Linked DNA regions of Drosophila melanogaster. The gene in region 2 interacts genetically with the main gene of each other region. Each region holds a gene or a part of one and is shown on either strand. Other genes may lie near its edges.

Region 1 (3,754 bases), on a different chromosome or scaffold from region 2:
GATGAATGCGCACGAATGTGCTTCCATATGAAGGCCAAAATGTGGGGGCGCACAGGTGATTCCATTGTTTACCCCATTGCGAAATGCAACAGGTTATCTGGTGGGGAGTTAAGTCGGAATTTCAGACAGAGCATTTCACTTCTGAGCCGATTGCAAATACTATGGAAACCTTGGCAACCAGCAATGGTTATCAACGGCCAACAATATTTGGTTGCTCTTGAATGCCTCGGATGCCTTTTAATCAAATAATCGGTCAATTATAATCCAGGACTCTAGTTAAATCGGTATGTTTTCATAATTAAGCGCTTATGTTTGCTTATGCATTCATGCTCATTTTGGTGCACACCAAAGGATTTACAAAGTATTTTTTACCATAAAGTTGCAAAAAGCAGTAGTGATTACAAAACAGATTATAGATTATGTGCCTATATATATATATATATAGAATACACATTTATAAGTTGAACATGTACATATTCAATGCAGCACTTACATATTGAAATGTGACTTGCAGTGTGGGAAAAATACAGTCTCCTTGATTCAGAATATGCAATTTGGTGCTGTTAAAGCTTTCGATTACTTTCTACAATTAACCTAATTTACTGGTCCACCCTAATGGCGGCGCCATAAATGCATTCCCGCTCTCGAAAACGTGGACTCCTTCCATTCCGGCTTCGGCACCCGGACACACGGATTTCCAGATTCAGGACAGCACCTGAGGCCTGTCAGGCGGCGGGGTGGCGGTGGCTTTGAGGAAGGGGGAAGAGCAAGGCACCAGCACATCATAAAAATGTGTAATTCAATTTGGTAAACATTTTCTGCTCCCCGTCGATGGTTAGATGAAAAAAAAATGCACATGAAAAATGCTGAAACCTTTGGCAAAACTCAATTTGGTTCCGGGATCAGATCAGACTGGGCAGGGGATTATGGTTTGGACTAGACGGATTCCACCCACCATGTGAACTAATCACTTGGCCAGTGGTTATTATGGAAACTTCAGCTAATTCTTAAACTCAATTTGGGTTCTCACACTCTCTCACAGAGAGAGAGAGAGAGAGAAATCCTATAAGGTTTAATTCACGAATTTCCAAATCACACGTTTTTAATGCCTTCTAATTACGGTTTATGCTCAAAAGCAAAGCTTCTGAAAATCCCCTACCCCCAAAACAGTGGGCTACATTTGTCTTGGGCATAGTTTGAAAATTTCACAAAATCTTATTAATCTTCTTAATCTTCTTATATTGAATCACAAATAACAGTCACACATCACGTAAATTAAAAGCATGATTACTTTCTTAAAACGCGTTCCTATCGGTATAGTACATATGTATATTTGCAAATGCAATAAATTCTTGTTCAGTTCTTTTGCCACACTTAACTAACATCTTCACTTGTTGATCGACACGAGACTTACGGTGGTAACTTGTTGCCAATTTGCCTTCGGGTGTGTTGGAAATCACAGGTTAGCCAGATGTCTTGATGATCTGCTAATTCTAGCACTTTTCCCCCTGCGCTGTGTGCAGCACAGAGATTTCAAAAATATATGCACAGTAACAAAAAGAGAGTTCAAATACGACGACGAAACACGACGGATACGGATAACAAACAGCAAGTGCCGCAGAACGGAACAGCGTTAAAAAACAGCGTGTGGCTCAGCTGTTCTCTTCGGACGGCACACAATAATATTTGTACTGCTGCTGCTGCTGCTGCGCTTGGTGTTTCTAACAAACAATAACTCTTTCGTGGTAGCCAACTTCTTCTTTCGCTCCGTGTACGTCCGCTCGTTGGTGTGTTTACTGTTACGCGGCCAGCAGTCGACTTGCTGCTATTCCACTGCTGCGGTCTGCTTTATAGCATTCTCTACGCCAAAGCAAAGCAAAGTCACTGGCAAAGCAAAACGGCGGAACGAGAGCGAGATGGTCGGAGAGAGCTGGCCCGTACACTGAGAGAAATTTGCATTGGGCAAGCAAGAGAGAATGTAAATCTCTTGACCAAGGATCACATTACACATCACATGCTTGGCATGCTAGCAAATTCCCAATTTTATTTATTTTATATAATTACGTTGTTAAGCATAAGCTTATGAATGTTTCGGTTCTGAAATTCGTTAGCTTAAGTCCCTGGTACAAATTTGTAATTAACCGAAATTAATAAAATTTTTTTTTGCTCTGTACCGCCGGCGGAAGGCGGGAAGAGTGTGAACTTCTCTCTTCGTGCGTGGGCAGCGCCAGGATAGACGACGATGCACCGTAAGTGCAGCAGGAATCGCGGCAGAGGATGCAATGCAGCATTTAGCCATCCCAATTAGCAGTTGCCGGGCAATAGCCTTCCCTCTCTCTCCACCTGTCTCTTTCTCTGTCTCTCTGTCTTGGCCTGGGCGACCCCTCTCTATCGCACTCTCACAAGACCGGCTCAACAGTGGGCTGTGATGTGATTTGGCAAATGTGTTTACACCATCATGATGACGACGTAGAACTTGGACTGTTGAATAGATCCGCTCAGAGATCTTATTGCACTGAACAAAAATTCCGTTTCTTTTGACATGTTTTTGTTTAGCTTTGAGCTGAACACGTTTCTAAATTAATAAGAAATATAATAGAAATTATTATGCTTAACTAATTTTGGAAAAAGGCAAAATTATTGGCTCAAATTAATACAAAAATATAATAAGAATAAGAATAATTATCTGCGTTCAGAAATCATCTTATGGGAAAAAAGAGAGAGCTACAAACAGACAGAGAGAGAGAGAGAGACAGAGAGTAAGGGGAAAATAGATCTTTATAGAGCCGCTCTATGGCCGACCAACTGTTGCCACTTGCCGGCCACACAGCAAGTTCAAAGGTCGCAGGCCAGGTAGACAGTAGCCACTAATTGGTTGGTAGACAAATACCCATACACAGAGAACAATTTTGAACTTCGGTGCTGATGAATACAAAAAAATAAAAATGTATGCACAAACATATGCAAATGAATTTATAATTCATACCTGATATCTATTGCATATTTAGGTCCTTTAAAACATAAAAACATTAATGAACTCATGATTAACCAAAGTTAACTGTGTAGCAAAATTTGGTTGGGCTAGATTAAGTATTGAGTCCTCACTCGTAGCAACCCCTAAGAGGTTTTCTAGGGTTAACCACAATTAACGATCGTTTGGTCGCTCGTAAAAAAAAAGAACAATTACGATTTTATCCCTTCCTGTAATATTTTAAGGATTCCGTATATCCTATTTCTCATTTTTACGACGGCAATAAAGTAATTATGTAAACCATTTACCTTAATCCCCATCAATTTAAAGAAAAGAAAATCCAAGCTTTCGATCATTTATCAATTAGTAATGAGCCAGCCATCCTTCATTTGTCAATCCTTGCGGTCCCATCAATAAGTTACCAAGTGCACAGCGAATTAATTAATCTGACTCACGGTTCTATTTCGGTTTCACCGCATTGCTCCACTGTGCACTCTGCCCACTCTCTCTCTCTCTTTCTGGCTCGCCCGCGCTCTCTCACCCAACTCCCACTAGTTCTCCCCACATGAAAACTCCTTAGATACGACGACACAAGTAAGTCGTTTGTTCCGGCGGCAACCTATCGCCCCTGTCACCTTAACCTTGCACTTGGAGAAAGTGTGATGGCCAATGGAATATAGCATTGCTAGTTTTTGTTTTTAATAATTTATTCGGCATTATTAAATAATATAAACGATACATCAACAGTCCATCGGTTCTTGGGTAGATACATAAATAAATTAT
Region 2 (3,754 bases):
AAAATGTATGTTAAAAAAGTTAAGAAACGTCTAAAGTTATATTCTATTTACTATACATTTTTTAAATTTGTAGTAATGATAAAAAAGTAGTAAACGTATTTTTATAATTTCGCAATCATTTTAAAGAGCATATAAATAAAATATAAAACTAAAGATTAAGAAAAAAAATTTTTACAGGCATTTTGAACAGATGAGAATTCTGCATATACATAAGTATATCAATAAAAAAAAACTTTAATTAATATATTCCTCCACAATGCTATCAACTCGTTACTGGATAATTCGAAATCCTTAAAAGGATTTAAGTAAAGAATAAAATAAAAAGCAAAACCACATTCGAATTTTGGTGTTCAGAAGTCAAGATTCAACATTTATTTAAAGAGAGGGCTCAACATCGTTTCGCTTCGCAGCGTCTTAAACGCATTTAACCAAACTCCCTCTTCCATCCATTCGATAACTTAAGCCGATTTTGTACCTATAGCGATCATCTAAATATGCATTCCATCTAGTCGCTACCAGCGGTCACTTTGCCGCCATCCGCGCTGCCAAACTTCTCAAACAGCTCGTACTTCCAGCGCATGTAAGCTACGCGCATTCTGTCCCAAACGTTGTCCACGGAGTCCATGGCTGGGCGCACATCCAGCAGGGCAAAGCGGTAGTCTTTGTCCACCAGTCCACCGTCGTAGTAGTCGATGACGTAGCGCACATCCTTGCCGCAGCGATCGACTATCCAGTCATGCCTATCGAATGGCAGCTCGTATCTGTAAGACAATTCGAACATTAATTCAGGTGAGATCTTCCGTCTGGAGTATACTCACCCCAGCCAGCTGCGGAATCGAGCGCGCGGACTGAAGTCCTTGGCCTTGCCACCGAAACTCTTGAGGCGCGGATTGCCGCATTCCTTGGCGTGAAGCGCCTCCCACTTAAGTACCTCCTGCCAGGCCTGCTCGTTGTTGGCATTGTGGATGCGTATGATGTCGCCCATGTCCTTTTGCGATACGTCCTCGGTCTTCCAGCGCCAGCCCTTGCGTAGCATGGCGTTCCAGAACATCTGTTGGCTGGGATACTGCCAGAATTGAACGCTGCCATCCTCGGTGACTTTGGGAATGGTCGACGTCTGGCGGTCGGTGGGCAGTGGAAAGGGCTGATCTGCCGCCGGCTGTTGGTTTGCCGGTGGCATCATATTCAGCGGATTAACGTCGCTGTTGTCGTGCTGCACCGGACATTCGGAAGCGGCCTGCATCTTGGGATGTGGGGGTACGGCGGAGGCCGATTTTGCATCTCCATGCTTCTGATGCATGGGGCATTCTGGTGGCGGGGCACCACTGCCGCTCATGTACTTGGCGTGGTCCACCGGCACACTCTTCGTGGCCTCCATTTGCACTCGGGTGATGGCTGTATTGCCCATTTCTGCTGGGGATTGGTTAATAACAAAATCTGTGTCACGAGGAAAATCGCATTAGTTCTCAGTTGCGTAACTGTAAGGAGTGGGTTACACTCCCAGTGCTGGGCCCCAACGCCAGGACTTACTCGATCCTAATGGTCACAACTCTCGATATTTGTCGATCTTCTCCTGGAGCCTTTCGCCTTAAATTTTGATTTATATTTTCGTTAGTTCATCGTTAGAACTTTTGAGCCCAAAATGCAGCGAGGTTGTGGTCAGGGCTGCCAGACCAACGGAAAGTGGACCAGTTGTTTCTGCACCGTGACAATATGTTAAGTTAAAAATTTAAAAAATCAACTCGCACCGCACGGCAATGTGAGTTTATGGTGTGTGTCTGTCTACAAATGAAAAGCATTGTTGAATTTATTTCAAGTAAATTAACTTGTAGTTAAACACCCCAGCTGTGCTGTGTAGTGTTGAGCAGTCGCTTTGCGATATTTTTAAAAAGTAAAACAAATACATTTATACATTAAAATGTTATTTTGTAAGTGTTATATAAAGTTTTTAAAATACTGGGTTAAATTTCATTTCATATGAAATTCTTTCTGATTCTGAGAAAAGTCGCAGTTAAAGCATAGACAAACATTTTGATTTTACATTTTTGATATTTGAACGGATACCTTGACAGCCCTATTCGGGGAGTTTTCCAACACCAACCATAGCCCGAAATTTGTTTTTGGGTAGACTTCCGATATTTAGATTGAAAAGTGAGTAAATACCACCGGATAGAGCATTAAAACCGACAATTTGGGTAAATCTATGGAGCGCCGCAATGCTGGCCAGCAGAATGCAACGAAAAGATCCGCATATCTGCAGTTCTAGGGCAGAGATTACCGCACTACCTGCGTAGCTCCTGTGATGTAACCACACGACAAATTGCCACTGGACGAGATATAATTGTTATTATCTTGTTTCGTTTTTGTACTGACCCTTGTTTTCCCTTCAGAATGACCGCCGTGTTCCGCGTAGGACTGGTGCGGCTCGTCAGCCGCGCCACACAGTCGCCCAATCTACTCCAGGCGCAGACGAATGCCCTGCCTGCTGCCTTCCAGCAGCGATGCAGCATCTCCGGCAAGACGATGCGAGGTGGACCACGGGTGCCCAAGGCCGCCCCCTATCCGTACAAGACGAAGAAGTACAGCGTGTTCAATGCTATTTTCGACAAGACCTCCAAGCGTTTTGACGAGAACTCCAAGGTGATCTGTGTGGAGGGACCCATCGCGGCCGGCAAGTCAAAGTTCGCCAAGGAACTGGCTGAGGAGCTGGACATGGAGTACTATCCGGCAGTTGATCTGGACCTAATCTACATCAATTCGTACGGCTATGACATGAGGAAGTTGGATCCTCAGTTGCCGCCCAGCTGCCGAAGCTACGATGTGCGCAACTTCTGCCTGGATCCCAGCCACGATCTGGCTGCCCAGTTCCAGATTCGCATGTACATGCTGCGCTATTCGCAGTACATTGATGCCCTGCAGCACGTCCTTAGCACCGGCCAGGGTGTTGTCCTCGAGCGCAGCCCCTACTCGGACTTTGTCTTCATGGAGGCCATGTTTCGGCAGGGTTATCTGTCACGCGGTGCGCGTTCCGTGTATAATGAGCTCCGACAGAACACCATCGGGGAGCTGCTGAAGCCGCATTTGGTTATCTACTTGGATCTGCCGGTCGATGCCGTGAAGAAGCAGATCAAGGCACGCAATGTGGACTACGAGGTGCAGTCAAAGGTGTTCAGCGATGCCTACTTGAGCGATTTGGAGCAGCTGTACAAGCAGCAGTACCTCAAGGACATCTCCACCCATGCCGAGCTGCTCATCTACGACTGGACAGCCGGCGGTGAGACTGAGGTTGTGGTGGAGGATATCGAACGCATCGACTTCAACCAGTTTGAGGCCGATATTCACAACAAGAAGATGCTCGACTGGCGTTTCCCGCTGGAGGCCGAGTGGTGCGAAGCCCGTATCAAGTACTGCCATGAGAAGCCCGATCTGATGAATTACTTCAATGTGCCGCGTTTCGATGTCCCGGAGCTGGTGCGCAGCGCTGACGACGGCAAAGTCTGGCGTGATGTCTGGTTCAATGTAAGTTCGGTGTTTCCATTTCCCTGTTCGATTTCTTTTCACATTAATTCTGCCCCTTTGCACACAGGCTCCCGGCATGAAGTACCGTCCTGGCTACAATGCAGACATGGGCGACGAGGGTCTCCTCACCAAGACGAAAATAGGCATCAACCAGGGCATCTAGAGGGTTTTTGCTATGCTTTCGAGTTGAAATCACCTGGCGAAATGTGTTAATTATCTAATAAACAGTCTAGTA

Evidence for each region.
Region 1: of ND-42 (region 2) and out, changing one suppresses a phenotype caused by changing the other (phenotypic suppression), as found in Drosophila melanogaster (one study listed by BioGRID).

What each region holds. Positions count from the first base shown.
Region 1 is NC_004354.4:19,320,242-19,323,995, forward strand, and holds the start of out (outsiders), read right to left. Parts: upstream 1,866-3,754; 5' UTR 1,415-1,865; intron 1-1,414.
Region 2 is NT_033777.3:22,025,630-22,029,383, forward strand, and holds the start of ND-42 (NADH dehydrogenase (ubiquinone) 42 kDa subunit), read left to right. Parts: upstream 1-2,079; 5' UTR 2,080-2,391; coding exon 2,392-3,519; intron 3,520-3,586; coding exon 3,587-3,682; 3' UTR 3,683-3,754. Other genes in the region: Cchl (cytochrome c heme lyase), read right to left, coding at 506-761, 819-1,408. UniProt on the Drosophila melanogaster protein: Accessory subunit of the mitochondrial membrane respiratory chain NADH dehydrogenase (Complex I), that is believed not to be involved in catalysis. Complex I functions in the transfer of electrons from NADH to the respiratory chain.